Linked DNA regions of Macaca mulatta. The protein of the gene in region 1 binds, or shares a complex with, the protein of each later gene. Links are inferred from orthologs where the notes say so. Each region holds a gene or a part of one and is shown on either strand. Other genes may lie near its edges. The genes, in order: ARPC3 and ARPC5.

Region 1 (3,815 bases):
ATTACAGGCGTGAGCCACCGTGCCCGTCCCATCCTGTGATTATTTTTTGTCTACCTTCTCTACTCTTCAAGGACCAGGACTGTACTACTTTGTATATTACTGTATCACAGTGTCTTGCACATAGAATGTGCTTAGCAATCATTTGATGGATGAATATATGAATGGGACCCATGTTGTCTTATAAAAAGCCAGGCATCTTGTAAAAAGCAGAACTAAGAATCAGCATACAGAATGCTGTCATAAATGTGATTTTTTTCTCCCTTCCTTTAACTCACACTTACCCACTGAAGGGAATATATATATTCTCATTTTACAAATTTGGAAACAAGCTAAGAGAAGAAGAATGATGCCTTGGTCAAAGCATAACGCCAGGAAGTGGCAGAGCTGAAAAGATAGTGCTTGGGTCTTGGTTTAGCTGGGGGCTGGGTACCCTGATTTATATGATGTTTGCCTTTCTGTGGTGGAAATACTTTGACCAGATACCAATGTGATGTCACCAAACATAGAATTGGAAGAGATGCACAGCAGCACCCCATTATTTAGTATTTCGTAATAATAACTTTAAGAACATGACAATAGGAAAATGTAATTTTTAAAAATTAGGTTATTGCCGGGCGCGGTGGCTCATGCCTGTAATCCCAGCACTTTGGGAGGCTGAGGTGGGCGGATCATGGGGTCAGGAGTTTGAGACCAGCCTGACCAACATGGTGAAACCCTGTCTCTACTAAAAATACAAAAATTAGCTGGGCGTGGTGGCTCGCACCTCTAATCCCAGCTACTCAAGAAGCTGGGCGGGAGAATCGCTTGAACCCAGGAGGCGGAGGTTTCAGTGAACAGAGATCGCGCCACTGCACTTCAGCCTGGGTGACAGGGCGAGACTCCGTCTCAAAAAAAAAAAAAAAAATTTAGGAAGTAGGCCAAGTGCAGTGCAGTGGCTCACGCCTGTAATCCCAACACTTTGGGAGGCCGAGGCGGGCGGATCACCTGAGGCCGGGAGTTCAACACCAGCCTGGCCAAAATGGAGAAACCCCTTCTCTACCAAAACTACAAAATTAGCTGGGCGTGGTGGCACATCCCTGTAATCACAGCTACTCAGGAGGCTGAGGCAGGAGAATCGCTTGAACCCGGGAGGCAGAGGTTGCAGTGGGCCAAGGTCACGTCATTGCACTCCAGCCTGGGCAACAAGAGCAAAACTCTGTCTCAAAAAAATAAAATGTAGGCAGTAGCTGGGTGAGGTGGCTCTTGCCTGTAGTCCCAGCCCTTTGGGAGGCCGAGGCAGGCATATCACTTGAGCTTAGGAGTTCGAGACCATCTTAGGCAACATGGTGAGACTCCTTCTCAAAAAAAAAAAAAAAGAAGTAGTGATGAATATTTAAGCATCATTGGTTTTAACATCATTTACTTTTTTTTTTTTTGAGACAGAGTCTCGCTCTGTTGCCCAGGCTGGAGTGCAGTGGGATGATCTTGGTTCACTGCAACCTTCGCCTCCTGGGTTCAAGTGATTCTCCAGCTTAGCCTCCCAAGTAACTGGGACTACAGGCGCACACTGCCACGCCCGGCTAATTTTTGTATTTTAGTAGAGATGGGGTTTCACTGTGTTGCCCAGGCTGGTCGCGAACTCCTGACCTCAGGCAATCCGCCTGCCTCAGCCTCCCAAAGTGCTGGGATTACAGGCGTGAGCCACCGCGCCGGCCAACATCATTTACTTAATTGTAAGTTTATATAATTTGATTTTTGAGAACAGCTGTGTTTAACAACCAGCTTGAAAAATGCCTCATAATTTAACAGTTGGTTTTCTTGAGCCAGAAAGAACCAGCTCTAGCACCTCAATGCTGCTATCCCTTCTCCCTCCCCTGATTAATCTTGGGTGGGTTACTCTTTTTTTCCTTTAAGGAAAGGTTGTTTGCCACAGTGACATTTGCTCTCTTTCTGCTTCTGTGTTCTTCCTGGGCTTGCCATTACAGGCTTACCACTCTTCTCTCATGGATCCTGACACCAAACTCATCGGAAACATGGCACTGTTACCTATTAGAAGTCAATTCAAAGGACCTGCACCCAGAGAGAGTAAGTCTAAACCCATTATTTTCAAATTTTGGCATGAAATGCCTAACAGTCTTCTAAAATGGTCAAATCAGGGAAATTCTTAGCTCAGTCTTCTCTCTCAAATTGTCCTTGTACTTTGGTAGATATTGTGGTCTAGACCTTTCAAGATAGTGGTTATATGTTGCATTTAATAGGAAATTGTATTATTTCTTCTGACTTCTCCAGGAAACTCTTTTGAGAAAATGGAGGAAATGTGCTTAATTCTGGACACTGTTTATCAGTTCTTTCAAACAAATCTAATGCTGTTACGTGTAGAATGCCACATGCCCATCCTTTCTGTTATCAACCTGGAAGAAAACAACAAATATTTTGACCTCTTCCCCGTCTAAATCTACTTCCTTTATTCATTCTTCAAGATCTTCATTTTTAGCAATACCTCAATCTTAAATCTGAAGTATACTATGTAACATTACTTTTGTCTATTCCTGCTTTTCTGAGTTTTATTTCAGAAAGCTGCAATATTTTTCAGACACTGTCTGAGACTCTTCTGACGCTTTCTGAGATGTTCTTCCAACAGTATTATTTGTATTATATTAGACACGGTTTCCCTGTACCCTGCAAGGGTCTGAACTGAATTCCATTCATGGTTTCTAAGACCATTATTATAATTATCAATTTGGTACTGATCCAATTCCCATTTCTCTGCCAGACTATTTGACTTGACCTTTTTTTAACTTAATTTTGTTTTCAACACCATTTGAAAGCTCAGTAAACTTTATAAATATGGTGAGTCACCACAGTCTCTACTTGATTCTGAGGAAAAGGAACAAGGAAGAAGACAGCCTGAGAGAGAAGAAAAATAACATAAAAGAAAATCACAGGGCTGGGCGCAGTGGCTCACACTTGTAATCCCAGAACTTTGGGAGGCCAGGGCAAGTGGATCACTTAAGGTCAGGAGTTCGAGACCAGCCTGGCAAACATGGCAAAACCCCATCTCTACTAAAAATACAAAAATTAGCTAGGCATGGTGGTGGGCACCTGTGATCCCAGCTACTCAGGAGGCTGAGACAGGAGAATTGCTTGAACACAGTGGGTGGAGGTTGCAGTGAGCCAAGATTGCACCACTGCACTCCAGCCTGGGCGACAGAGTGAGACTCCATCTCAAAAAAAAAAAACAAAAATTACACTGCAAAGGCCAGGCGTGGTGGCTCACACCTCTAATCCCAGCACTTTGAGAGGTCGAAGTGGATGGATCACCTGAGTTCAGGAGTTCGAGACCAGCCTGAACAACGTGGAGAAACCCCGTCTCTACTAAAAATACAAAAAATTAGCCAGGTGTGGTGGCACATGCCTGTAATCCCAGCTACTTGGGAGATTGAGGCAGGAGAATCGCTTGAACCTAGGAGGTGGAGGTTGCAGTGAGCTGACCTGGGAGGTGGAGGTTGCAGTGAGCTGAGATCATGCCATTGCACTCCACCCTGGGCAACAAGAGCAAAACTCTTGTTTCAAAAGGAAAAAAAAAAAAAAGAAAAAGAAAAACACCTGAATTGGAATGGAGGCCTGTGCTGTGAGCTAAATAACAGTATTAATCACACTAATTCATTTATATTCAACAAATATCTATAGAATGCCTCTTATGTGCCAAGTATTCTTCTAATTTCAGAATCCTTTGGCCTTTGCCCCCTCCTGTCATTACATTTAGAAGAACTAGCTGGTTTTTGTAAACAATATTGAGTCCTCCAAGAAAGTTTCCTTTCACAGATAAGAAAACA
Region 2 (4,374 bases), on another chromosome or scaffold:
TGCGACTCACCTTCACTGCCTGACTCTTGGTGTTGATAGGGGGGTTCTTCAGAGCTGCCTGTAGGGCAGCTGTCATGTTTCCTGTGATGGAAGTTAAGGGTGTAGCAGCAAAGCATGGCCCCCAGGAAAGTATTATAACCACTGGTTCTGAAGACTTGCTTTATATATAAAAAGAAAATTACTGGTCACCATGTTCAATACTGGAAATTCAATGTGTTGGTTTCCAGGATGTTAATCAAGGGCAAGATATCAAAAGCAAAACAGAACATTAGACTTTCTTTTTAATAAAGCAAAGACTGTTTCACCCTTGGTTCTAACTATCAAATGAACACCTTGATAGTCTTTCATTGCCCAGTGAGATACATATGCAAACATTACCTAGAGTGGTGTTAAAGAAATCCTAGGCCGGGCGCGGTGGCTCAAGCCTGTAATCCCAGCACTTTGGGAGGCCGAGACCGGCGGATCACGAGGTCAGGAGATCGAGACCATCCTGGCGAACACGGTGAAACCCCGTCTCTACTAAAAAATACAAAAAACTAGCCGGGCGAAGTGGCGGGCGCCTGTAATCCCAGCTACTCGGGAGGCTGAGGCAGGAGAATGGCTAAACCCGGGAGGCGGAGCTTGCAGTAAGCTGAGATCCGGCCACTGCACTCCAGCCTGGGTGACAGAGCGAGACTCCCGTCTCAAAAAAAAAAAAAAAAAAAAAAAAAGAAATCCTAAAATATGTATCAGAATTATTAGTCCCCCAAATGAAATAACCTATTATCAACCAAAATATGTCTTTTCCTGTGATTCTAATTGAAAAAATAAAGACCAAACTTTTACTATATTCTATATTAACTGAAATGCTGGTAGAACATGCTGGCAGATTAGCAATCTCAATGATACACATTAGCAGTCTCTCAATATTGATGAAAAGAGGCATCACAGAAGATGTAATAATTCATATGTCCCTTAGGTGGCAGCTTAATTTTTTGCTTTAGATATTTTCTCTCATATTTCACAACGGTTATTCAAACTGTGTTAGACCATACCTATTAAATTCAGACTCTCTTTGAAAGCACTAGTGAGTTAGCAAGCATGAGAAACAGAAGGCCAATCAGACTGTCAGAATGTACCAGACATTCCCCTAAAAGGAAAACCACAGAGTTCACTTGTTCCTCCATCTCTAGTACCCCACCACTAGGGCTGTCTTTCCTGGCTGTATGTAAGGGTAAGAAAAGACAGTATCTTTTTATTTTAAGATGTACTGATCAAAAAGCGGATCCACTGATATGGACACAGCAGTCACCATAAATTACCTAAAATACATTGGGGTTTCATAAAACACCATCTATCCATCACAAATGTTTTTAGGAAGCATGTTCACCATTTATCTTCCGAAGAAAAAGTTCTCACACACACAAAATCTCTGGTTGACAAGCTGTTATTTTCAAGGCTGCAAGGATTTCTAGAGAAGCATGCCTCATGTGATTAGCTCATTTTGTATGACCCCAAGCACTTATTTAAATAATGCAAAAGAGCAACAGCTAATTAATTGTGAAAGTTGTGGCAATCAAAGGACTAGCTATATATTGATAAATGTCTAATGCTGTATTTAGGTGCCTTTAAAAAAGGATACTGTTGCCATTAAATATTTTCACTCACATTTTCCTCATATAACAGGACATTGAGTCTTCCTTATGAATACACCCAATAATTAGAAATGCATAAAAAGCCAGTGTTTGAGATTTTCTAAAACTATAGCTTCGGTTTTTTGCAACATTTACATTTTTCTAAAAAAGATGTAATGCAAATACGGAGTCAAAGTTATGAATATTCAAATATGCAAAAACAGAAACCGGGAACTGACAGCCATATTTTAACTAAAATGGAATCAATTTTAGGAATACAAAAAATTGTATTCATTCCCCTCCCCCGGTTAACAAATTCTGTGCAATGTATATTTTGTCAAATCCCCCCCTCCCTTTTTTTTCTTTTTTTAAAGGCCAATGGGCTGAAAGCATAGGGGACCTCAATTTTCAAACCGTACCATCTACCTTCTGCCCCCGGTAAGGAATAAACTATCTTAATGCTAGCAATAACAAAAACACAACAAAAAACAAAATCACTAAGGAAAGACGCAGGTTCCCCACAATCAGAAATTTCTGGAGCTAATGTGACTCCGGGAAATAGAGTTCTAGGAAGAAAAACTTAGGCGCTCGGCACCAGCCTTCCCCACCAGCCCGGGCCGCCTTCCCCAACGCCGCGAAGGCGCGGCCGGCGGGACCGGTTCCCGAGGCAGGCAGGCACTCGGGTGCAACCTGAGGAATCTGGGGGCGTGGAAGGCGCGCGGGGGAGGGCAGGCTTCCAAGAGTGGGACCCTCGCGTCTCCTGGCTCCTGAGTAGGAAACGGGGGCTTCCTCCTGCCCTCTCAGAGCGGGAGACCCCAAAGAGACAGGTTTAGCCGCAGGTAGACAGGGCAGCTCCGCGCCGGGGCCCCGCGGAACCTTCAGGCTCCCGGGTCTCTGGACAAGGGCGGGCTGGGCTGGGCTAGGGTGGGGAGGGCGGCGAATGCAAGGATATTGCCGTAGGCAGGAGTCCACCTCGCCCTCATCGGGCCCGGCCTGGCCGTCGCCCCCATCTTCTTCGTCCACGAACTTGTTCTCGTCATATTCATCCACGTCCACCTTCCGGAACCGGGCTGACGACACTGTGTTCTTCGACATCCCAATCCCTACCAGCGGCAAAGGCCTCTTCTTGGAGCTGCCTCTACCTCAGCAAGCCGAGCCCAGCAGCCCACTGCCCGGCGCCTGATTCACTTCCCTCTTCCGCTCTGGGGCGTCGCCGGCTGCCGTGGCTGGGACGGTTCTGGGCCTGCGCGCCAACCCTGCTGCTTCCTCCTCAGGTTCACGCTCTCCTGGCGCCTCCCACGCCGCCCCCACTCTTTCACGGAGAGCGCGCGCGGGGGAGGGAGGGCGCAGGACACAGCGCGCAGGCGCGGGCTCTCCGTAGGCAAGGGGCGGGGCTGGGCGAAGGAGGAGGGGGCGAGAGGGAGGGCCGAAACCTGGATCGCGGGCGGAGGTAAGAAACGATTGGTCGTCCGAGTGCGTCACGTGATTCCCAGGGGGTTCCCATAGAAACGCTTTTCTGCGGTCCAGTCTAGGGGGTCTGAGGTTGTCGGTGATGGGCAGCAGCGGCAGGTGGCATTGACTTTTGCTGCAGCCGTCAACGACCTGTCATCCGGGTCCTGCGTAAGGTCCGACTGGCTGGGACTTGGATGTGGGTGGGATGGACTTGGCTGCCGGACCGAGTGCCCTGCAGTTGGCAGGAGTATGAGGCGGAGTGATGCACACCCGGGCGCCCAGCATCGTTCTAATTGCCGGAGACGTTACCTCGGACTGTGCGCTGCTAGGGGCTGCGTTCCTGAGCGGGAAGCCCGTTTCCTGGGGTTGGAACTACCCTACTTGGCCAGCGGGAGGTCCCCAAGGACGGAGTCGAAAGGTCAAATCTTATCTGTCAGTGCTGTGTGACAGCATCACGACGGGATCTGCAGAACCTGAACTCGGTATCAAATCTACTGGGAGGGAGGGGAATGTGTCCGGGCAGGCGCTGGGGTCGGTTGGCAAAACTGGGGTGAATTTGTAGAATTTGGGAAAGGGTCATTGACATCTTAAAATAGGTGGTTGTTTGGAGCAAGAATGCTGAAAAGGGGTGAGGGTAGGTTAGGCTCTCTAGTGCTGGGGGAAAACAAAATGGGTAAGGATTGGTGGAAACCAGACCTTTAAGATTTATATTATGATTTAAGATTTATATGATTCCATCTAGGCCAGATTTTAAAAAAAATATTTGACATCCCCATTTCCGGAATGTAGGAGATAAAGGCACTAAGACGAAGGAAATGGTAGTTGTGCTGTGTGTATTACACTGAAGAACAAATATTTGCAGGATAAAATTAATTTGGACATTTGGCTGGACATTGCTCAGGTATGGGTCTAGTTTAGTTGGACCTCGAACAGAAGACTGGCTGTTGTCCTGTTGTGTGCCACAATCTTTGGTTTCCAGTGCTGTGTTGAAAAGAGCACTGGGCTTATAATCAGAAAACTCAGGCTTAAGTCTTGACTCTTCCGCTCATAATGTTTGAACGAGACATGTCACTTGAAATTCTGTCTCAGATTCCTCATCACCGAAATGGAGCTAATAATGTGCACTTTACAAGATTGTTCTTAGGATTAAATATCACGAAAGTGTTTCCAAGCTCTAAAATTCTACATAAATGTAAAATGCATGTTACTTGTACCATTGGTTTTGGGACTAGTCTTATAAATTGCTTAATAATATATGGTGTTTTATCTTGTTCCTGGAAGAGATGGAAAGATTCTGAAGGGCAGAGAC

The links.
Region 2: ARPC3 (region 1) and ARPC5 share a complex: the UniProt entries of both Homo sapiens proteins name them as parts of the arp2/3 complex. The link is inferred for Macaca mulatta from reciprocal best matches to the Homo sapiens genes ARPC3 and ARPC5.

What each region holds. Positions count from the first base shown.
Region 1 is NC_133416.1:117,612,905-117,616,719, reverse strand, and holds part of ARPC3 (actin-related protein 2/3 complex subunit 3), read left to right. Parts: intron 1-1,964; coding exon 1,965-2,064; intron 2,065-3,815. UniProt on the Homo sapiens protein: Component of the Arp2/3 complex, a multiprotein complex that mediates actin polymerization upon stimulation by nucleation-promoting factor (NPF).
Region 2 is NC_133406.1:41,108,269-41,112,642, forward strand, and holds the start of ARPC5 (actin-related protein 2/3 complex subunit 5), read right to left. Parts: upstream 2,853-4,374; 5' UTR 2,709-2,852; coding exon 2,565-2,708; exon of another isoform or gene 1,622-2,564; intron 83-1,621; coding exon 11-82; intron 1-10. UniProt on the Homo sapiens protein: Component of the Arp2/3 complex, a multiprotein complex that mediates actin polymerization upon stimulation by nucleation-promoting factor (NPF).